Linked DNA regions of Drosophila melanogaster. The protein of the gene in region 1 interacts with the protein of each later gene in a pairwise test. Each region holds a gene or a part of one and is shown in the gene's direction. Other genes may lie near its edges.

Region 1 (7,258 bases):
TTTTAAGTATTTTTAAGAATACTCCAGATCAAGATAATTCTTTGATACAAAATAAACTTTAGAAAAATATGAAATACATTTAAGCAAGCAATGTAATTATACTGGAATAAGAATTGCAACCCACTTTATATTCTGATTTAATATAGTTACATAATAACATAGTATAATATTAAACCAATTGTAAACTGAATTATTCATTGATTCTTTTTCTTCTCTTTTCATTTCAGTATCATCTTGCACTTGTTAACGATTATTTCTTGTTGTTTTTATATTTGTTGCTGTTGTTAAATGTTTAGCCAAAACTATGGAAACCATACACGGAGAAAAATTCCTTAAAACATAAAAAAAAAACATAATAAATTGTTGTGCCATGTCTGTGGCTTGAAATAAAAATGAAAACCATATAGAAATGAATAACACACCCCATAGCTAAAGAAAATACCTCAAGGATCCTAAATAACTGCCCTCCTTTATCTTATTTTATCTGCTTTGCTTAACTGCCCTCCTTTATCTTATTTTATCTGCTTTGCTGTACATTCTGGTAGACTGACATTTTAATATCCTTTCTATAGTTCCTCTCGATCACCCTATCCTAAAACAGTATTTTCCATATTTTCTCATCTTCCGAAATCTTTCCTCACCAACACACCCGAAAATAATTGTAAAATATAACGACTGCAAGTGCAGAAATTCTAAATATTTACTATTAAATTGTAAATATGTACGAATTTTTGCTTATAACAATTAAACAGCAAATATAGTCATAAATATATGTATTCATGTAATATGTAAGTCTGTTTTGTGTATGTGTGTATATATATAAACCATGATTTTGCATTGATAATTATATAGGGTATGAAATCACCTTTCAAATCCACACAAATTTTAATCGAAATTGCTGTATATTGTATTTAAAGTATAATATTATATATATCTTATAAGCCTAATATTATGCATGATAAATAAAATACGATTAAAACCAAACAAACTATTGTCTTTTAATTTGGGAATAAAAACATATGACAAGCACATTAAAAGGGGATCTTCATGGAGCAACTGCTAATGGAAAAGTTTTTCTTTTTGTGATCCACTGCAATTAAAAAGCTGAAGCTCGAAAATGTAAAATCTAAAAGAACGCCCTTTAAATGGTGATCATTGTTCTTTCTTACTTGGTGAATTCATTTCAATTATCAGGTCGGATTTCCCGCCAAAATATAGCAGTCATTTTAAATCGCTGTAACTGTTATGTTAACTATTCGTGTTAACTGTAATCGATCATTTGTGCTTACAGATTAGACGCTAACAGTGCCCAGAGCTAACATAACGCGCTGCCACCTATCGATATATTACCACTCAGAAATTCATAAAATAGAGATGTTACTTAATAATAAAATTGCAATTTGGGATTAAGTTATTGTATGGCTTTTATTTTTTTTAATTTCCTTACATTCTTCCTCTTCTTAACGACACTATCGATATTACATTGCAAAAGTCCGGCAGCGCTTTATGTATCGTAGCTCTGTTATCGATATGTTCCCGCCATTCCCGCTTTGATCATCCTCCAGCCCTGGTCACAAAACAATTTTTGCAAACTGCAGCACAACACGGGGAAATTATTATCAAAGTTAGCCAGTTGCAATGTCTGAATCACCGTGTAAGTTAATAAGATAACTCCCTTAAACATATTTTTTACCGAAATTATAAATTTCCAGCTGAACCGCGCGCTAAGCGCCAGAGAGTAGACAAAAATGGTAGGTTCGCCGCCATGGAGCGACTGCGTCAGCTGAAGGGAACCAAGAACAAATGCAAAGTGGAGGACCAGGTGGACGATGTATACGATGTGGTTGATGAGCGGGAGTACGCGAAGAGGGCGCAGGAAAAGTACGGTGACGATTGGATCGAAGAGGGTAAGTTGGAACTCTGAACTCTATACTTTATAATACTAAATTTTAACTTTTAGATGGTACTGGTTATGCAGAAGATCTTCGGGATTTCTTCGAGGACGAAGATGAGTACTCCGATGGGGAGGAGGATCGGAAGGACTCGAAGAAGAAGAAGGGTGTTGCCCCCAACAGCAAAAAGAGACCACGGGAGAATGAAAAACCAGTAACAGGAAAAGCATCCATCAAGAATCTATTCAGCAATGCAGTGCCCAAAAAGATGGATGTAAAGACCAGTGTGAAAGACGATGATATCCTTGCTGATATTTTGGGCGAAATAAAGGAAGAGCCTGCAGCGACGTCAGAAAAGGCGGAAAAGGTTATAGCCCCAGCGAAAATATCAGTTACGTCGCGTAAATTCGATGCCGCCGCTGCCAAGGAATACATGAATAGTTTTCTAAACAACATCAAAGTTCAGGAGCAGGAACGTAAGAAAGCGGAGGCCAGTAGCGATAACGAGATGCTGGAGCGCATTCTGAAGCCCAAGGCAGCAGTTCCAAACACAAAGGTGGCCTTTTTCTCCAGTCCTACAATCAAAAAAGAGCCCATGCCTGAAAAGACACCTGCAAAAAAAGCCACCGAAGATCCATTCTCCGACAATGAAATGGACTTTAGCTGTCTGGATGACGATGAAAACCAGTTTGATGTGGAGAAGACACAGCAGACCGAGAAGGTTTCCCAAACGAAAACAGCAGCTGAGAAAACATCCCAAAGCAAAGTCGCCGAAAAATCAGCTCCCAAAAAAGAAACAACTGGATCGCCAAAGGAATCGGAATCGGAGGACATTAGTAGGTTGCTGAACAATTGGGAGTCTATATGCCAAATGGACGATGATTTTGAAAAGTCCGTGCTCACCACGGAGCAGGATTCGACAATCTCCTCAGATCAACAGCTTCGGTTCTGGTACTGGGAGGCCTATGAGGATCCAGTAAAAATGCCCGGCGAAGTCTTCCTGTTCGGTCGGACCGCAGATGGAAAGTCCGTCTGTCTGCGTGTACAGAACATCAACCGTGTGCTCTATCTGCTGCCCCGACAATTTGTGAGTATTATTCTACAAATACTTAGTCCTTAGGTGAAGTGTTGTTTCTGAATATATTCTTTTAGCTCTTAGATCCCATTTCGAAGGAGCCCACCAAGCAGAAGGTGACCGTCGCAGACATATACAAGGAGTTCGACAGCGAGGTGGCAAACCAACTGAAGCTCGAGTTCTTTCGATCCCGCAAGGTCACCAAGAGTTTTGCCCATCACGCTATCGGTATTGAAGTTCCGCAATCTTGCGATTACTTGGAGGTTCACTACGATGGAAAGAAACCACTGCCCAATTTGTCGGCTGACAAGAAATACAATTCTATAGCACACATATTCGGCGCCACCACCAATGCACTCGAAAGATTCCTCTTAGATCGGAAAATCAAAGGTCCCTGTTGGCTGCAGGTGACTGGATTCAAGGTGAGCCCAACTCCCATGAGTTGGTGTAACACCGAGGTCACATTGACAGAGCCCAAGAATGTAGAGTTGGTGCAAGATAAGGGAAAGCCAGCGCCACCACCTCCACTTACGCTACTATCGCTTAATGTTCGCACCTCAATGAATCCGAAAACATCGAGAAACGAGATATGCATGATTTCCATGCTGACCCACAATCGTTTCCATATCGACCGCCCTGCTCCACAGCCCGCTTTCAATCGACATATGTGCGCTTTGACTCGCCCGGCGGTGGTTAGTTGGCCTTTAGATTTGAACTTTGAGATGGCAAAATATAAGTCTACCACAGTGCACAAACATGACTCAGAGAGAGCCCTGTTGAGTTGGTTCTTAGCTCAGTACCAGAAAATAGATGCAGATCTCATTGTAACCTTCGATTCCATGGATTGTCAACTAAATGTAATAACCGATCAAATTGTAGCCCTGAAGATTCCCCAATGGTCTCGAATGGGGCGACTGAGGCTGAGCCAATCGTTTGGCAAGCGATTGCTGGAACATTTCGTCGGCAGAATGGTTTGTGATGTAAAGCGATCTGCAGAGGAGTGTATAAGAGCAAGATCCTATGATCTGCAAACGCTATGCAAACAAGTACTGAAGCTTAAGGAATCGGAGAGAATGGAAGTGAATGCCGATGATCTGCTAGAGATGTATGAGAAAGGAGAAAGCATTACCAAGCTCATATCGCTCACCATGCAGGACAATTCATATTTACTAAGGCTGATGTGTGAGCTCAACATCATGCCGTTGGCGCTACAAATCACTAATATCTGCGGCAATACCATGACCAGGACCCTTCAAGGAGGTCGTTCTGAACGAAATGAGTTCTTGTTGCTGCATGCCTTCCACGAGAAGAATTACATAGTGCCGGACAAGAAGCCGGTTTCTAAACGAAGTGGTGCAGGAGATACGGATGCTACGCTTTCAGGTGCAGATGCGACGATGCAAACCAAAAAGAAGGCAGCCTATGCTGGTGGCTTAGTGTTGGAGCCCATGCGTGGTCTCTACGAGAAGTACGTTCTCCTCATGGACTTTAACTCCCTGTACCCCAGTATAATACAGGAGTACAACATATGCTTCACCACCGTCCAACAGCCGGTGGATGCAGATGAGTTGCCCACCCTACCCGACTCGAAAACGGAACCTGGAATCTTACCCCTTCAATTGAAACGCTTGGTGGAGTCGCGAAAAGAGGTGAAAAAGCTAATGGCAGCGCCTGATCTTTCGCCGGAACTCCAGATGCAGTACCACATTCGGCAGATGGCCCTGAAGCTAACTGCGAACTCCATGTATGGTTGCTTGGGTTTCGCCCACTCCCGGTTCTTTGCCCAGCACTTGGCTGCTTTGGTCACCCACAAGGGCAGAGAAATCCTCACGAACACACAACAACTCGTGCAAAAGATGAACTATGACGTTGTTTATGGAGACACAGATTCCCTGATGATAAATACCAACATAACCGACTACGACCAGGTCTACAAGATTGGTCACAATATTAAGCAGAGTGTAAATAAACTATACAAGCAGCTGGAATTGGATATCGATGGAGTATTTGGCTGTTTGCTCTTGCTGAAGAAAAAGAAGTATGCCGCTATCAAGTTGAGCAAGGATTCCAAGGGAAACCTGAGGCGTGAACAGGAGCACAAGGGCCTGGATATAGTACGTCGCGATTGGTCTCAGCTGGCTGTAATGGTGGGAAAAGCCGTTCTCGATGAAGTGCTGTCGGAAAAGCCTTTGGAGGAGAAACTGGATGCAGTGCATGCCCAACTGGAGAAGATCAAAACTCAAATTGCAGAGGGTGTAGTACCGCTGCCACTGTTTGTCATCACCAAACAGTTAACTCGGACTCCCCAGGAATATGCCAATAGTGCTTCATTGCCCCACGTCCAGGTGGCCCTTCGTATGAATCGCGAGCGTAATAGGCGGTACAAAAAGGGCGATATGGTGGACTATGTGATCTGTTTGGATGGGACAACAAATGCTGCCATGCAGCGAGCATACCATTTGGATGAGCTCAAGACCAGTGAGGATAAGAAGCTGCAGCTGGACACGAATTACTACCTGGGACACCAGATCCATCCGGTAGTCACGCGAATGGTGGAGGTGCTGGAGGGAACCGATGCGAGTCGCATCGCCGAGTGTCTGGGCATGGACCCAACCAAGTTCCGTCAGAATGCGCAGAGGTACTTACTATCTTATTACTCCTTACAAACTCTAACCTAACGAATATTTTGGTTATGTAGAACCCAGCGAGAGAACACCGAGCAGTCGGAGGGTGAGTCCCTGCTCAAGACGACTCTGCAGTTGTATCGCCTGTGCGAACCGTTCCGCTTCCAGTGCGTTACCTGTAAGACGGAGCAGCTGATGGCGTCTGCGTACCGACCGGGTCCAAGCAACTCCCACATAGCCGTACTCCAGCAATGCGCTAAGTCCGAGTGCCAAACGGCACCGATTCAGTACCTGGCAAGCGTGCGCAATCAGCTGCAGCTTTCCATGCGGCAGTATGTGCAACGGTTCTATAAAAATTGGCTGGTCTGCGATCACCCGGATTGCAACTTCAACACCCGCACACACTCCTTGAGGAAGAAATCCCACCGCCCGCTGTGCCAAAAGTGCAGGAGCGGCAGCCTGCTGCGTCAGTATACGGAGCGGGACCTGTACAATCAGCTGTGCTACCTGCGATTCATGTTCGACCTCGGCAAGCAAACGCTGCAGCAAAAACGTAAGTAAATACAATGTAGTTATAAGCAGTATCAAAAACTAAAACAATAGTTTGTGTATAAGAACAAAATGAAGAATGTGGAGTACGAGAGAGAAATATCGACACTAAATAACAAGACACATGAAAGGAAAAATCAGTCGAAATATTTTATAGTTCCCGTGATCTCGACGGATTTCAGTAGTTCTTTATGCTTGTATCCTTGAATTCTTAAAAATTGTTGTAGTTTATATATTAGTTCTGACACCTAATACATATATTTCCCTTAAGATTGGTATCATTAAGTTTTACAGCATTTCATATTGAAATTATATTTTGTCCATATTATCAAGCCACCCTCACACCGGAGCTGGAGCAGGCCTATCAACTCCTATACGAAACGGTGGATCAGCAGTTGCAGAGCTCCTCCTACGTGATCATCTCGCTAAGCAAGCTCTTTGCCCGATCCCTGGCTCAGATGTCCCTGCAACCGTCCGTGGCGCAGCCCCAGATCGAAGCAATTCCGAGTGCTTTGGCGGATGTGGTCTAAGTGTTTAATTAACTAGCCTTTGTTATAAGTTCCATTAAAAATACTACAAAAGAGATACAGAGATACAGTATGGTTAACTAGATGAGGTCACGTGGCGAGGAACTTCTCGAGCGGAAAGTGCCGGAAGGACTCGTTGAATATATCCGTAAATGCCGTGCTAACCAACTCGTTAATCATCGGCTTGATGAAGGGCAATCCCAGCTGCCACATGCTGTTGATGACTCCATCGGCCAGTTGGTTGAGGGGCTGTCCCTGCAGCAAGTTCTCAATGTGCAGCTCCATTCCGCCGATGCGGTCCACCTCCACATGGACCTTGATGAGTGAGCCCGGACCGCCGATGCGCCTAACGCTGGTGGTTTGACTGAGGAAGTAAATAAAGTGAGCGATAGGTTGTCATGTAAGCCAAAAGCTATCAACAATACTGGTGTTTGCAACACAGCTTGGGAAATACATATTTCCATGCAACTCGGTGCCCACCTGTAATCGTAGAGGGTGAGGTTCCAGTGGCCTTTTCTGTTCATCTCAGTACCCAGCATCTTGGCGGCGAACTCGTACTCGCCCTCCAGACTTTTGTCGGGGAAATACTGA
Region 2 (3,677 bases), on another chromosome or scaffold:
ACGTCGCCGACTCCCGCTGCCCGCTGCCAGGAGACGGAAACCTGTGGCATTGCTGCTGGCTCCACTTGACTGCAACTCCAGCTTTCCAGCCACCTACTTGCATAATCGAAAGCGGATGAGGTGCAGCGATTTGGCCGAAAATTTAAGGTTCGATCAACGGCCGTCGAGGGGGTGGGGTGAACGGTACATTTTGTTGGTATACTCATGAAAACGAAACGAAAGCTGCCTGGTCGGTCTCCGGTATGTACAGTGGGACTCTGAAGTGTTGACACAGCTGTTCTAATTTGTGCTTATCTATTGACCTTTCCAAAGCCCTATATTTTAATTTTCCGAATTCTCATCCTATTCAATATTAAAATAAAATCCATAGTTTCGTCTAAAGAACTGAGCAACTTATTTATTTTACTAATAAATACGTATTTATAACCCGTGCCAAACTGTTTTCTGCCACTGTATGCTGTATGCATGTATACGTGTGTGAGCAGCGCACATCGCAGTCGCAGTGTACGAAAATAAACGCTGGCGCAAGCAGAATGGCTGCGGAGCGAGCGAGACAACTACTGCGACGCGACGGCAAAGTACAGCAACTTCAAAAATATCGACTGAGCACAGTCTGCACACCGACAGAGCAAGCAGGGCCGCAGTCCGAGCGCCCGAAAGGGGCGCTCATTTTAGAGCAGATCTTTACAGATAGAAATTAACCTAGGTTTAATTACTAATGAACTGTATTCTAAATGCAACCATATAAATGCAGTAAAAAAAGTTCGCATAAAATGCAATTTATGAGCGGTGCAGCCCGCGCCCACCCTCACACGTATAGATCCCCCCCTGCCATTTCCTAACCATCAGCCAGCTACTGCGCCGCGTCGCCGTTCACTTTTGCGTCGTTTTCTGTCGTCGTCGTCGACTGACTTGTCCCGCCCCTTCGACCTGCGCCCGCACAGAATTAATCAATTGGCTGGGGCTGGTTGGGGCACGGACCGAAGACGGCTGACAGAAAGCAGAAAACCCGTAGCCAAAACCAGCCGAATTTCACTTACCAGGCACACCGAGCGTTTCGGCGATTTGTTTCCAGGTCTGGGCCTTGCGCACAAAGTGCTTGTAATTGTAGTGCGACCTGTCGTATATCACTGGGTTCAGCTTGACAGCCTCGATGAGATTGAGATCAAACTGCTGCTCAAGATTGGCATCCAGCTTGTCCATCTCAATGGCCGCCGTGAGGGTATGCACTGAGGGGACAAGACGGGGAAACAAGAGTTACAAATTTAGCGGGGACGAGACGGACGTGGACTGGGTCGGATCCCAGTTCCAAACTGGGCACACGGGCTCCCGCAGCCGACGACACTCACTTTGCTTCTTACGTTTGCTAATTGTTGTTAAGTATTTGGCGCGAACGCACGCTCTGTTTGTTTTTATTTTGATTGGTTTCTTCTACGAGGAAGGAACGTCGACGTTTTAATTTTATTTCTCAGTCGCGTCTCTGCCAACGGTAACGGTACGTCCCAGCTCAGTCGCGTCTCTGCCAATTAGGGGTGGGAAAACGCCGATGAAGGGGTCATCAGCGCATCGATAATTTTAAAACTCTCATACAATAACAATATGTTATGGCGACTATCGATGTTTCTGATATATCACAACAGCTGCGTAAAGCGTCAAAAGGCTTAAAGTTTTACCATGTTAAGATTTAAGATGTTAAGATCATAATTCGTTCCGAGTTTAGCTCGTTTAAAGAAGGAAGCGTACGACTATCGATAGACGGAGGGCCACCCTTATTTTAGAGGCGCCACCTTTAGGAAATGTGCGGCACCTTTGGCCAGTTGGTATATTGTAACGGTTCGTCTGCGGTCACACTGTTTCTGATTAGACCAAATGAAACAAATGGCGGCACAAAAAGCCTGGACGGATGAGGAGCGTCTGGAGCTGGCGGCCCAGCTGGACGCGGAACTGGATGCGTTTATCGATGGCCTGGAGAAGAAACGTTACGAGGAGGGCTGGCCGGAGGACCGCTGGCAGGAGGAGATGGACAAGCACCCGTTCTTCATGAAACGTGCTCCTCAGCCAGGGGATGACGTGCATCCGATGTTCGAGGGTCTGCAGAAGCTCAAGTACGATCCGGAGGAGAACACGCGCGACGAGCTGGCGCTCAACTACAAGGAGGATGGCAACTTTTACATGAAGCACAAGAAGTTCCGCATGGCAATCTACAGCTTTACCGAGGGCATCAAGACCAAGACGGACAATCCCGACGTGCTAGCCGTTCTCTACAACAACCGCTCGGCGGCTCACTTCTTCATCAAGAACTACAGATCCTCGCTGAGCGACGCCCAGCGAGCTCTGTTCTACAAGCCAGACTACACAAAGGCCCGCTGGCGGTCGGCACAGTGTGCGTACGAGCTGGAGAGGTTCGATCTGTGCACCCAGATGTGCGAGGAGCTGCTCGAGGTGGACGTCGACAACGAGGTGGCCATCGCGCTGCTGCACAAGAACAAGATGAAGAAGGTTAGAATACGTGATCCAACTGGATAGGAACCCACATTAAACAAGTTATTTCCGTAGCTCGAGATAGAACGCAATCAGCGCAAGGAAGCTGCCGAGGCAAAGCGACGGCTTACACGCTTCCACAGACTCCGCGACGCCATCGAGCAGCGCGCCATTAAGTTTGACGATCAAAAAGTTGGCAAAAAGGACGTCCTCAGTGAGGAGCTCCTTTATCCAAAGTTTCTGCCTTTGGAGGACCATCCGGTGCACCTAGACGAGGACGGCAGCACTCTGATCTGGCCGGCTGCGTTCTCCTACCCCGAGTTCCTGTACAGCGACTTTTATCAGCAGCTGCCGGAGACCACCACCATGCGGGATTGCCTGGCGACGCTGCTCACCGAAAAGCTGCCATACGACAAGGCACACAACTACCGCCTGGGTAACGTGCACGTTTACTACGAGAACCGCAAGGTGGGCTGTGTCCACAAGGTGGACGAGGAGAAGCAGCTGGCCGAGATAATCGCCGAAAAGGGGTTTTTCGTTTCCGGTGGCGCTCTGCTCTTCTATGTGGTGCACAAGGATTCGCGAGTGGAACAGGAGTTTATAAACGAACGGCGACGACCCATGGTTTACAGTTAAGACAGTGAGCAAATAAAGTGATTCCTTCTTGAAAACAAACAAACACCTTTTCATTTGCTTGTAAAGTTTACTTCATTTTTGTGGCATATTTTATTTGTAAGCTTATGGTTTAGTCACGGTACAGTTCAGCATTGGTTATGCTATCTTGAAGCATTTTATTGTAAGTTTAACTAATCTCTGATATGTTATGCGAAGCCGAAAAGCGTAGTTCAGGCTACGCCGCCAAAAAATATCTGATGCGGCGTAAGCCCATTTTGGTAGACGATTAATCATCTGTAGAATTGAAAATTGTTTAGCTAAATTTAGTTTTTCTTTAACAACAAGGCGCCTAAATGAGTCAACAATGTGGTTTTTGGTTTAATACGTATAAAAGCGTTTTTGTAAATTTTCATAATTGAGCATATTCTTAGACATTCATCGTTGGTTCACAACAGTAGTAATACTAGGGGACCCCCCAAGTGGATCCGGATATGGTTCGTTAAAATACATTTGACAAAGCAGGATGACCATACATATAAGGCTTAATACTAAGTGCATCGTGGGAAAGCGTATTATATACT
Region 3 (6,505 bases), 7.4 Mb from region 1:
AGCCTTTTGCCTTTTGCCTTTTGCCACCCACTTTCGGATTTTGCCCGGGAAAAGTGGTAGTTTTCCAATCAGCAAATGCATTCAGTTTGAGCAGCCAGCTGTCGTTGGTACAAGGGGCGGTGGCGGCAGCTGGGGGCGTGGCCACATGTGGGCGCTAACTGCCAAGTTGAAACAATTGGGTGCTAATAATCCCCGGTTAATCTGGGTAAGTGTGTGTTTCTGGAGGGCATTGAAGCAAGGATTCTGGAGGAAAACGCAGACACATCACGCATCCTTTGGCATCAATCCTTAATGGCTATCTAACAACGATATAAAAGCCCGTCGAGGAGCATCAATAGTTCAGACGCAGTTGTGATTCGAACGCGAAAGGAACCAACCGAGATTACCGAGTGTCCTGCAAACAGGACTAACTTCTGCCGAAACATGTTGCGCCTCCTGCTGCTGCCCCTCTTCCTCTTCACGCTCTCCATGTGCATGGGCCAGACCTTCCAGTACTCCCGCGGATGGACCAACGGCAAGAGGTCCTTTAACGCCGCATCTCCCCTCCTGGCCAACGGCCATCTCCATCGGGCCAGCGAGCTGGGACTCACGGATCTCTACGATTTGCAGGATTGGAGCAGCGATCGTAGGCTCGAGCGGTAAGTTTCATCGAAAGAATAACAGAAATATACAACTTTATTTTTAAAATACATAAAGAATATGATAACCCAAAAACATTCCATTAGATACCTATTAAAATCATATAACTAAGGAATTATATATTATAATTGCCCTACTTATACACTTCATTCCTACTTATTTTCTTGTTTTTTATGTATTAAAGTAATATTTTAAAATTTTCCTCCAGCTGTCTATCGCAGCTCCAACGTTCACTGATTGCCAGAAACTGTGTCCCCGGTTCGGACTTCAATGCCAACCGAGTAGATCCGGATCCCGAAAACAGCGCCCATCCCAGACTGAGCAACTCTAATGGCGAGAATGTTTTGTACTCAAGTGCCAATATCCCCAACAGACATCGCCAGTCCAACGAACTCCTAGAAGAGCTGAGTGCCGCTGGAGGAGCATCCGCCGAACCCAATGTGTTTGGAAAACATTAGCCACTATCCGTTCAATGTGAAATCTATTGTAAACTAGCAAAAAATGCTACAAAAATGTAAAAAAAATTGTTGTAAACGGTTAATAAAACACAGGATTTTTATGAATTACTTAACTGTCTTTTTTTAATATCCAAGAAGAGTATTTTAAATATTTAAATAGTGTAAATAATAGAGTTGTTTCAGATACCATTTACATGAGGTCATTAGAAAATGTATGTAATAAATCCAAAACCTTCGTCTTTTTCTAATGGTACCATTAGACCACTTAGATATAAATAATTCATATTTAGTCAAATTGATTTAACATATCTTTTTCAACTTAATACTTTAGTACTGCCCAACACAGCTTTAAAACATGCTGAAAATATGAAAATATACTGAATTTGGTATTACAAAATGAGGCCGCATACACGAGAGGTGAAAGCAGATGCGCAATCTGGTAACACTAACCGACGCAAAAAAGAAAGAACCAAAAAAGTTTGCGGAAAAGTGCAACAATTAATTTCCCCCGCCATTGAAATGCTGCCATGCATAAAGTCGATCGCATCCGTTTAAAAATGCGCTTCTGCGTATGACGACAGTTTTCCGAGCGAGGTGCATTGCGGGGACTCACATTATTTTCCCTCTTTTTTTCCCTTCTTTTGGTCTTCTTCCTCTTTCGCTCGCTTCGCACAACAACAATAACGACTACGTTTTTTCAGTGGCGAAAACTGTACGCAAGAGGGGCGAGTAGAGGAGAAAAGTGCATGGCAGAGAGCGAGAGTAAGAGAGGTAGAAAAGGAGGAAAAAAAAACACACATGTAATGTGCAATTGTTTTATGAGTTCTACGTTAATTTTGTTGTTTGTTTTTTTTCGGTTACCTTCAGGTAATTGCAGTTTGGTTTTTCCGCGTGTGCGTGTGAGAGGTAAAACGCGTGTCCAGAAAAAAACGCGCCAACGCCAAAAAAAAACCCAAGTAACTACCGCCCACACAGCGATCACGCGCCCCCAACCCATTTTAAATGATAATGGTGCGAAGACGACAACGGCCCGCCAAGGAAGCCGCATCCTCATCCTCTGGTGGAGCTTCCTCGGGATCGGGAATTCCTGTTGACCAGGCACTGCCACTGAATGTGGCGGGAAATCTGCTGGAGGATCAGTATTTTGCCAGCCCCAAGCGGAAAGACTGCCGTTTGATGAAGGTCACTCAAAATGGCCAACTGCCGGAAGCCACAATGATGGCACACAACAAAGACAACAAAGCGGGTCGCACAATAGGTGAGTACGCTTCTCGTACTTTTTAGGTTAGCTGTGTTGGCTAAAATACCCCTTGTTTGTTATTTTTCAAGGAGTTCCCTTGGCCACGCGCTCACAAACTCGCACCATTGAGAACTTCTTCAAAGCCAATGCTGCCGCTAAGGATTCCCAAAAGACAATACACACAGAGGAGCAGTTGAATCTAGGAAATCAGGAACTGAAACTGGACGATGAGGAGCTAAATGGACAGATAAAACTAGATGACGAGGTGCTAAAGCTGGCAGACAAGCAGATAAATGAAAACCTTCCCTTTGCCGACGAAGTAGATGCCAAGGCAGAACAAAAGCTTATGGATGAGGAACTGCAGCAGGTGGTGGAGGAACTTCTGTTCGATGGCAGTTCCAGAGCGTCCTCCAATTCGCCCTTTTATCAGCATGATATGGATGTCATGCAGGAGATCCAGCAGACTCCAGAAATTCCACACATCAAAAAGGTCACAGAGCCGCTCGAGGGACTGGGCTCTCTGGCCGACTTCCAGACACATCGCTCTGCGCTGAGGGACAGCCACAGTTCCACGCACAGCAGCAGCACCGACAACATCTTCCTGCAGGAGCCGGTACTGACCCTGGACATTGATCGCACGCCCACCAAAGCCTCCAGCATAAAGATCAATCGGAGCTTCGAACTGGCCGGAGCCGTATTCTCATCACCTCCGTCGGTGCTAAACGCCTGTCTCAATGGACGCTTCAATCAAATAGTAAGCCTGAATGGACAAAAGGAGGCGCTGGACTTGCCGCACTTCGATTTGGATCAACATGACAGTAGTTCTTGCGACAGCGGAGTAGCCTGTGGTCTCACTGCCAATACAGAATCGCCAGCGGGGCAACCCCGACGCAGAAAACCAGCCACACCGCATCGCATCCTCTGCCCCTCGCCAATCAAAACGGCTTTGAAGGTAACTGGAGGGATTTGCAAGGTCGGATCTGCGGATCCATTGTCGCCGCGCAAGTCTCCTCGAAAACTGCCGACCACAACAGCAGCGGTGGCAGCCTGCAAGTCGCGTCGAAGACTGAACCAGCCAAAGCCACAAGCGCCTTACCAGCCACAGCTACAGAAACCACCGTCACAACAGCAGCAGCAGCAGCAGGATGATATCGTCGTGGTGCTAGACGACGACGATGATGAAGGAGATGACGAGGACGACGTTCGAGCCCTGATCAAGGCTGCCGAGGAGCGTGAAAACCAGAACAAAGCACCAGCCACAGCGAACAGCAACAAAGCAGGCATGAAAACGATGCTCAAGCCTGCGCCCGTGAAATCAAAGACCAAAAGCAAGGGGCCAACGAAGGGACAACCGCCGCTGCCCTTGGCTGCCACCAACGGCAATCGTGAGATGACGGACTTCTTCCCGGTGCGAAGGAGTGTGCGCAAGACTAAGACGGCCGTCAAGGAGGAATGGATGCGAGGCTTGGAGCAAGCAGTGCTGGAAGAGCGCTGCGATGGTCTCCAAGTACGCCACTTTATGGGCAAGGGAAGAGGCGTAGTCGCCGATCGGCCCTTTAAACGCAACGAATTTGTGGTTGAGTATGTGGGAGATCTCATATCTATAGGCGAAGCCGCGGAACGGGAGAAACGCTATGCGTTGGACGAGAATGCTGGGTGCTATATGTACTACTTCAAGCACAAGTCCCAGCAGTACTGCATCGATGCAACCGTTGACACCGGCAAGCTGGGGCGCCTCATCAATCACTCGCGGGCTGGTAACCTAATGACCAAAGTAGTACTTATCAAACAGCGGCCGCATCTCGTACTCCTGGCCAAGGACGACATCGAGCCGGGCGAGGAACTGACCTATGACTACGGGGACCGATCGAAGGAGTCACTATTGCACCATCCTTGGTTGGCCTTCTGAGGAAGAGCTCTCCAGGAGCTCGCGAAAGGGGTTGCGGTACAGCCTTAAAACGAAGACTATTTACCATGTTCAGGGCAGAGAATCTTTAAAATAATAAGACCTGGGCTAAACTGGTTTTTGGCTCGAGGGAATCTTTCTTAGCTTTTATACGTAGATTGCCTTGCCTTGAACCACTGCAAAATTGTTTTCAGACCTGTTTCCGTGTGATAAGTTGCCGGAATTTGATTCATTTACAAAGTTTCATTAAGCAAAATTATATCAATATTGCAAGCACTTATATTTTTGGTAAGACCAATTCAATCATTACGAATTCCGGCAATTTGGATCGGAATGGAGAGAGGCGTATTTGACACCGGTTCTGGGCAGCCCCGAGCTTAGATCTTATTTGAGGAAAAGTATATAAACTGTTAGTTCAAAATATCATAACGGATAGCGAAACCCACACGCCCCACACCCAAGGGTGGTTCCAGCCAGGGACGAAAAGTAATCAATGTAAATTCTAACAAGTTTGCCTCAGAAATAGGTCTAATGTCAATTTCGATCTTCGGCGTTACCAAAATAAGTTACAAATGAAGTTAATATTTCCCTTTGGGTCAGTGAAATAATCGAAATTATCAATTAAGAACAAATTTATCAAAAAGACCTAGACTATACAGATTGTAAATTGATATTAGACCCATGATCCCCAAAGCAAAATGCCTTTAAATTGTACGATTACGATTCAATCCCTATAAGACTCATTATCGATCCACCCGTGATCCAAGCAACCCCCCCCTCCCCCTCCCTCCTTACACAAACTCATGAGCATCTTTTTGGATTTGTTAGCGTTTCATTATGTTTAGAGCAAGGCTAAAGTTAAGGAGAGATAATAATGATAATAATAATAATAAAAACAACGCGCTTAAGCATTAAGGCATCTTAAGATAATTGAATGAAATCGAAAAACTGTTGACCATTTGAAAAGAGATGATGATGTTGATGAAGCCACGCATTCACATTGACAAGAATCGATTGTACACTATTTATATAGATATTTATATTAGATACATGTGTAATTTCTAACTATTACGTACTATTTACTGCCATAGAGCTATACACTCCCCCTCGCACCTGTCCCAAAAAAAAAAAAAAAACCCCTAGGAACTGACACTACTGAATTGTTGATTTAACCCATTGACACACTCATTAATTCTCGAGGCTTCTCCAGGAGAGTAGTGGCCTGCTGGACACCTAGTGCTTCGACTTACTGATAATCTCTCTACTTACACGCAGGTTTCAATCACACACTCAAGCAATTAAATGATAAATCACCCCGCCCCTGCCCCCGAAAATACGGCATCGTTAGTTAATCGACTTAGTTCAAATTTGTGTTGTCCCATTTGAACCAGATTTCTGTATTTTAAATGAATGCTCCAATATATTGAAGGATTTTGTTTTTTTAAATAGGTTTATTTTAATCAGCGCATATCTTTTAATTATACAATATGGTAAATATATTTTAATACGTTCTAGTACATAGGTAATTCATTTATTTAAAACCAAGCAGCAACCATCTATAATCATGTTCTTGTTTTTACCTTTTTTTTTCATTGACTTGGCAAAATGAAACAAAACAAATTGAAATCTATTTGTAATTTACATTTAAGCCTAAAAACATATGATTACATCAAACACTTAGTTTTAGTCGATAATTGTTTATAATTTTTCAGACACACACACACACAGACACATTCAACTTAAAGTGCGTAACATAAAGTAAAATAAATAAATGAAAACACATTAACACGAACAAAACAATAATCAAGAACTGGAGCGGATTGGGTTTCGTTTTCCAGCGATTACCTGGAGATCATCATGGCAACCAGTCACACTCATTTACACTTGGAATGCATGGGAGTTCTTCTATCAACTAACAAATCCTATTTCATATACAACACGTTAACTATGTTTGCTTGGTTAGTTCGCTTTCCTGTCGCTTGTTATAAGTACACAATATAGAAAAAATTCGCATCAGGCGGGTTGGGTTTTCATCCATGTGGTGGTGGTGGCCCGCAATCGCATTGGAGTATTTGTTATGGATATACAAAAGGGGAAGTTCGCCGCTAGTGGAATGCATTTGTAGGCTTTGCCGCAGGGATTAACTGATGATATTCCTCAGATAGGCGGAGTTTTCCGATTTAGGGTTCTAACTTTGGGGTTGATTAAAGCTAAAATCATCATGGAACTAATAGTTTTACATTTTTAAAAGTAATGCCGATT
Region 4 (5,359 bases), about 12 Mb from region 1:
GCTTTTTGTCTATGCCGAGGTCACGCGAGCGAGATCTTGACTTTCGGTTTCTCCTGGTGTTGGATTCGCGCACGTTACGCTTGGGTGAAACCGACAATTCCTCCTTTTCATCATAAAAGCTGTTGTGCGCCCGTCTACGGCCGTTGGAAGCCTTCTCCCGGAGGTACGACTCCTCATCGGAGAGCGAGATATCGGAGAGATCTTGTTCCTGCCGTGACTTTGTGCTCGCTGATTCAGATCCTTTCAAGCGATCCGCTTCACGTTGCCCGTTGTAAAAGCTATTGTTGGAGCGGACGCGTTCCCTTTCATGCTCCTTTTCCCGTTCCCTTTCTCGTTCCCAGTCGCGATGCTTCTCCCTTTCATGTCGTTCGCGCTTTTCGGAATGACTGGAAGGCTCCACAGCGCTGCGCTTCCGGCTCTCAGACTTTTCTTTCTCCTTCTCGGAGGGAGCTTGTGCTGCCGTAAACTTATCTTTGGATTTGTCCCTATCCCTGTCCCTGTCCCGATCCTTCTCCTTTGATTTGTCCGTAACGCGGTCCCGATCTTTCTCCTTAGATTTGTCCCGGTCCCGATCCTTCTCCTTGTCTTTGACTCTGATGTCTTTATGTTTGTGCTTCTTACGTTTATGCTTGTGCTTGCCTTCCGCCTCCGAGTCGCTGCATTCGCCATCTGACTTGGTCGTCTTCTTTTTCTTGGCCTTCTTATCCTTCTTCTCCTTTTTCACCTTTTTCTTTTTCTTGAACAGATTGTCGTCTAGAAGTTCCTCTGGTGGAGCGGCATTGAATACGCCGAACAGCTCGGCAAGGATCTCGTTCGAGGACTTTACAGGCTTAATGTTCTTCTTGTCGTCCGCCGACGCGGAGCTCTCGCTCTCCCCCGACTCGTCATTGTTGCCCAGTTCATTGCTGTTGCTCCTCCGCATCAAAGTCACCATCTCCGCCTTGATCTTGGCATTCATGGCCCGGAGTTTGGCCTCCACCTCTGCGTCCGGTCGTTCGCTCTTTACCTTAATTGGCGGAATCTTGGTCAGTGCAAGTGGCTCCTGAACCGGAGGATTTGTCTGAGACCCCGCCACTTGAGGCGTTTCTACGCTCGCCCCTTTCTCTGTGTTCTCCGTCATTGCTCTCTCGCTGGGCGCGGATCGTCCTAGTGTCTATGCATGCTAATAGATTACCGCAACAGATCAGCGAATTTGTCGCTGTTCGCGATTAAGCGTTTTTCTGCACGTCTTGCTTGGACAGAAGTTTCAATAATAGCGATGACACTCGTAATGGTATCTACAGTTCGCAGGGCTCAAAGATATCGATACTTTGCTAGAGTTGTGTAATAGTACCGTCACGACAAGCGCCTGCTTGAAAAAACCTAAATAATAAGAATTGCTATAATGCTTTTTAAGACAAATGAAATATTTCCTAAATAATGTTCAACTGGTTCATAAGCTTACAACTCCAACTGAGTAAACTTAAAATTTCTAAATTTAAAAAATAAGTCGACATAAATTCAGATCTGACGATTGGTGCTTCAATCGACCCTGCCTATAAGTGGGCAGTCCCGAATTGCCAACCGCAGCCAACTTCACTCACGTCGTTGTCACTGATTGCAATTTTAATAAAAAGGAAAGAATTTTATCACTTTTAAAAGACGTAGAAAGTGTATGTGTCGTGGGAGAAACCCGATTTACTTGCTAAAAACGTAAGTATCCTCTACCGAGGACCAAGAGAAACACTTTTTTCGCCCGTTGCATTGCTAATTTTCATGTATTTTTTCGCCATTTCCTTTTTTCAATGCCTGCGCCATCGTGTTATGCTGCAACTGTGTTGGTCGATTCTACGTTATTTTTTCGTGGATGTGCGCTGGTGTGGGTGCGAATAATTTTTCCCATTGGCTGGTGTGCAATTGAAACAAATTATTAATTGTTCATCGAATACGCTAGGAGGCGTACGTCGCCAACATCGCATTCAATAGTTTTTAAAAACTCACTTTTTAACAGCCAATCGAAAAAGCAAACCCTTATACAAGGAAATCAGACAAAATGACGTCTATGGAGCAAAATCGTTTACAAAACTTCAAAAACAAAGGGAAAGACCAGGATGTGAGTAGTTAGAAGTTACCGCTGAAATGGGAAACATTATAATATTAATTAATTTGCAGGAAATGCGACGTCGGAGAAATGAAGTCACCGTTGAGCTGAGGAAGAACAAGCGCGAAGAGACCATTCTCAAGCGTCGCAATGTGCCCAATTTGGACTCGAACACAGATGAGGAGGAGCAGTTGTCCTCGTCCATTGACCTGAAGAAGCTGGCAAAGGCAGCCGCAGACGCCACCAAGCCGGAACAGCAACTGGCCGCTGTTCAGGCTGCCCGCAAGCTGCTGTCGTCGGACAAGAATCCACCCATCAACGATCTGATCCAAAGCGACATTCTGCCCATCCTGGTGGAGTGCCTCAAACAACACAATCACACAATGCTCCAGTTCGAGGCCGCCTGGGCCCTGACCAACATTGCCTCTGGCACATCGGCTCAGACCAACGAGGTACGTTCAGCTTTCCCTCTCAGCACTTTCTTTGTTTTAATGCAATATAATCCTGTATAGGTTGTTGCCGCCGGTGCCGTGCCGCTCTTCCTTCAACTTCTCAACTCGCCCGCTCCCAATGTTTGCGAACAAGCCGTGTGGGCCCTGGGCAACATCATAGGCGATGGTCCTTTGCTCCGCGATTTTGTCATTAAGCACGGAGTCGTGCAGCCACTTTTGTCGTTCATCAAGCCAGACATCCCCATCACATTCTTGCGCAATGTAACATGGGTTATTGTGAATTTGTGCCGCAACAAGGATCCGGCTCCCCCGACAGCCACCATTCATGAGATCCTGCCCGCACTCAATGTGCTCATTCATCACACCGACACGAACATCCTGGTGGACACGGTCTGGGCCATCAGCTATTTGACTGACGGTGGCAACGATCAGATCCAGATGGTCATTGAAAGTGGAGTTGTACCCAAGCTGATACCACTGCTGGGCAACAGCGAGGTCAAGGTACAGACAGCCGCACTGCGGGCTGTTGGCAATATTGTGACTGGATCGGATGAGCAGACACAGGTTGTGCTCAACTACGACGCGCTCTCCTACTTCCCGGGCCTGCTCTCGCATCCCAAGGAGAAGATCCGAAAGGAGGCGGTTTGGTTCCTTTCCAATATAACCGCTGGAAATCAATCGCAGGTGCAGGCCGTTATTAACGTGGGTCTCCTGCCCAAAATTATCGAGAACCTAAGCAAGGGCGAGTTCCAGACACAGAAGGAGGCTGCCTGGGCCATCAGCAATCTGACCATTAGCGGCAACCGCGAACAGGTCTTCACCTTGATCAAGGAGGGCGTCATTCCGCCATTCTGTGACCTCCTTTCATGCCAGGATACGCAAGTTATAAATGTAAGTATAATTTGCGTCTCTTCACATATTTGTTTTGAGTAACACATTCCCCTTTTTTTTAAAGGTTGTTTTGGATGGTCTGAACAATATGTTAAAAGTGGCCGATTCTCATGTTGAGGCGGTGGCCAACTGCATTGAGGAATGCGAGGGCCTGGCCAAGATCGAGCGTCTGCAGAGCCACGAAAACGTTGAAATCTACAAACTAGCTTATGAGATCATCGATCAATACTTCACTGATGAGGTGAGCTAACAGTTTAAGTCAACCGTTTGTTATTATTCTAAAACGTTTTTGATGCATCCTTTACAGGGCGAACAGACTAACATGGCACCGACCTCCGACGGCGCACAATACAATTTCGATCCACACGCCGATAGGCTAACGATGAACTCATTTAACTTTTAACGATTTAATCAGAAAGCAGCCGCGCAGTAGCAGTGAAGTGAAAACCAAACACGTGCAACACCACATAATTTGGCGTTTATTCGTACACAATCGCTTGTGTATGAACAAGCCCGACGAGCCGTCAACCAATTCACATAATAATAGCATTATATTTTGTCCACCACACAGCAGCAATTAGACAGCCGGGTTCGTTTTAGGGACGAGAATAGGAACTCTGGAGGATACACAACGGATAATCCGCTGCAGCCGTTTTAGCTTCTCTCAATTCTGTGTTAACAAAATTACAAAATTCAGACATACACACACTCTTGGGTGTGTGAATGTGCAATGCAAGGACTTCTCCGATTGAAGCGACTCTGCTATAGATCATCCAAAATATAAACACAGGAATGAGAAACAGATTTCAAAAAGAATGTAGACCTATTTGATTTATATGAAATTATTTAAATATTTACGCTTCTGATTTGTAATTGAAATTACATATGTATACATTTCTAACATGAAAACGATAAAAGCAAAAGGCAACTCATCATTTTGTTTCCAGGCAGATAAGTTAAGCGGAATTTTATAAGAACAAGTGTGTCGCGTTTCAAGACCAGGCATTCGAGTTGTCCGTCGGCCGAGCTGTTAATAATTAGCGTTTATTTCAGCTAGTGCGTCACTTGAGCACGTTTCCCATTAATGCGCAATTGCCCGTCTACCTGGCAGGGCAGCTGAAAAATCGGCTTTCACATGGCAACAGATCGAGTAAATATTTGTAAACAATCAGATCGAAAATCGAATTCGGATTGCAACAGAAGGGACTGGGCGTTTCCCTCAATTGAGGGATCAAATTGTATTAATGACTTATCTGCAAAGCATCAGTTTCGCTAGTGTTCTGTATACAGTATAGGATACTTTAAATCAGTTAGATTTAGTTGAGTGATGTGATGTATGTTTTACTTTTAAATCTTGAGGAGTGTGGGAATAAATAGCTCTTCATTTTACTTTTACATATTCGTTCTTTCATATAAAGAAAGTTTCGCCTGGCGGTTGTTTTTGGAACTACTCAGAATATTTACGTGTAACTTACCCATCATCTACATGGGCTTCTATAATTATTTATAGGACATTCCGAATTCTGTGATGAAAGTTAACTTTATGAAAGTGGTTCCAGCTCGTGCAGTACAAATCTTTTACTGAAATTTACCTAATTTTTCGAAAATAGTATACTTTGACTTATATATGCAGGCGGGACAACGTTTACCAACACTAGAATTTGAGATGGCAGATTGTCTAGCTGTAGTACCCCAGCTGTTGCGGTGCTAAAATTATTTTTATAATTGTGTAATTGTATGTGTTTTAATACGTCATTTCCTGTGAGATTTAATAAATATAAGATTTAGATATTAATTTTTTTGTATTAGTGAAAAATGGCGCATCACTGTTGTCGCGTGACTCCTAAAAAACTTGCATTTGCCTGCTATTTATAGAGATGCTGCACTTGTATTGGTAGCGATGCATTCGATTCAGACACATTTGCTTCCGTCAACA

Evidence for each region.
Region 2: the proteins of PolA1 (region 1) and Dpit47 interact in a two-hybrid assay, tested with the Drosophila melanogaster proteins (one study listed by BioGRID).
Region 3: the proteins of PolA1 (region 1) and Set8 interact in a two-hybrid assay, tested with the Drosophila melanogaster proteins (one study listed by BioGRID).
Region 4: the proteins of PolA1 (region 1) and Kap-alpha3 interact in a two-hybrid assay, tested with the Drosophila melanogaster proteins (one study listed by BioGRID).

The regions. Positions count from the first base shown.
Region 1 is NT_033777.3:21,666,026-21,673,283, reverse strand, and holds PolA1 (DNA polymerase alpha subunit 1), read left to right. Parts: upstream 1-1,533; 5' UTR 1,534-1,638; coding exon 1,639-1,654; intron 1,655-1,712; coding exon 1,713-1,907; intron 1,908-1,960; coding exon 1,961-2,979; intron 2,980-3,044; coding exon 3,045-5,605; intron 5,606-5,665; coding exon 5,666-6,144; intron 6,145-6,473; coding exon 6,474-6,670; 3' UTR 6,671-6,722; downstream 6,723-7,258. Other genes in the region: Jhbp16 (juvenile hormone binding protein 16), read right to left, coding at 6,758-7,031, 7,148-7,258. UniProt on the Drosophila melanogaster protein: Catalytic subunit of the DNA polymerase alpha complex (also known as the alpha DNA polymerase-primase complex) which plays an essential role in the initiation of DNA synthesis.
Region 2 is NT_033778.4:6,660,121-6,663,797, reverse strand, and holds Dpit47 (DNA polymerase interacting tpr containing protein of 47kD), read left to right. Parts: upstream 1-1,679; 5' UTR 1,680-1,869; coding exon 1,870-2,499; intron 2,500-2,556; coding exon 2,557-3,117; 3' UTR 3,118-3,153; downstream 3,154-3,677. Other genes in the region: Adf1 (Adh transcription factor 1), read right to left, coding at 1,041-1,229, 1,350-1,350. UniProt on the Drosophila melanogaster protein: May act as a co-chaperone for HSP83.
Region 3 is NT_033777.3:14,314,513-14,321,017, forward strand, and holds Set8 (SET domain containing 8), read left to right. Parts: upstream 1-1,525; 5' UTR 1,526-1,691; intron 1,692-1,798; 5' UTR 1,799-1,868; intron 1,869-1,964; 5' UTR 1,965-2,099; coding exon 2,100-2,355; intron 2,356-2,426; coding exon 2,427-4,246; 3' UTR 4,247-5,982; downstream 5,983-6,505. Other genes in the region: Crz (corazonin), read left to right, coding at 424-638, 848-1,097. UniProt on the Drosophila melanogaster protein: Histone methyltransferase that specifically monomethylates 'Lys-20' of histone H4. H4 'Lys-20' monomethylation is enriched during mitosis and represents a specific tag for epigenetic transcriptional repression.
Region 4 is NT_033777.3:9,573,941-9,579,299, reverse strand, and holds Kap-alpha3 (karyopherin alpha3), read left to right. Parts: upstream 1-1,566; 5' UTR 1,567-1,652; exon of another isoform or gene 1,653-1,692; intron 1,693-1,826; exon of another isoform or gene 1,827-1,990; 5' UTR 1,991-2,032; coding exon 2,033-2,092; intron 2,093-2,151; coding exon 2,152-2,532; intron 2,533-2,592; coding exon 2,593-3,423; intron 3,424-3,487; coding exon 3,488-3,664; intron 3,665-3,730; coding exon 3,731-3,826; 3' UTR 3,827-4,816; downstream 4,817-5,359. Other genes in the region: Son RNA binding protein, read right to left, coding at 1-1,120.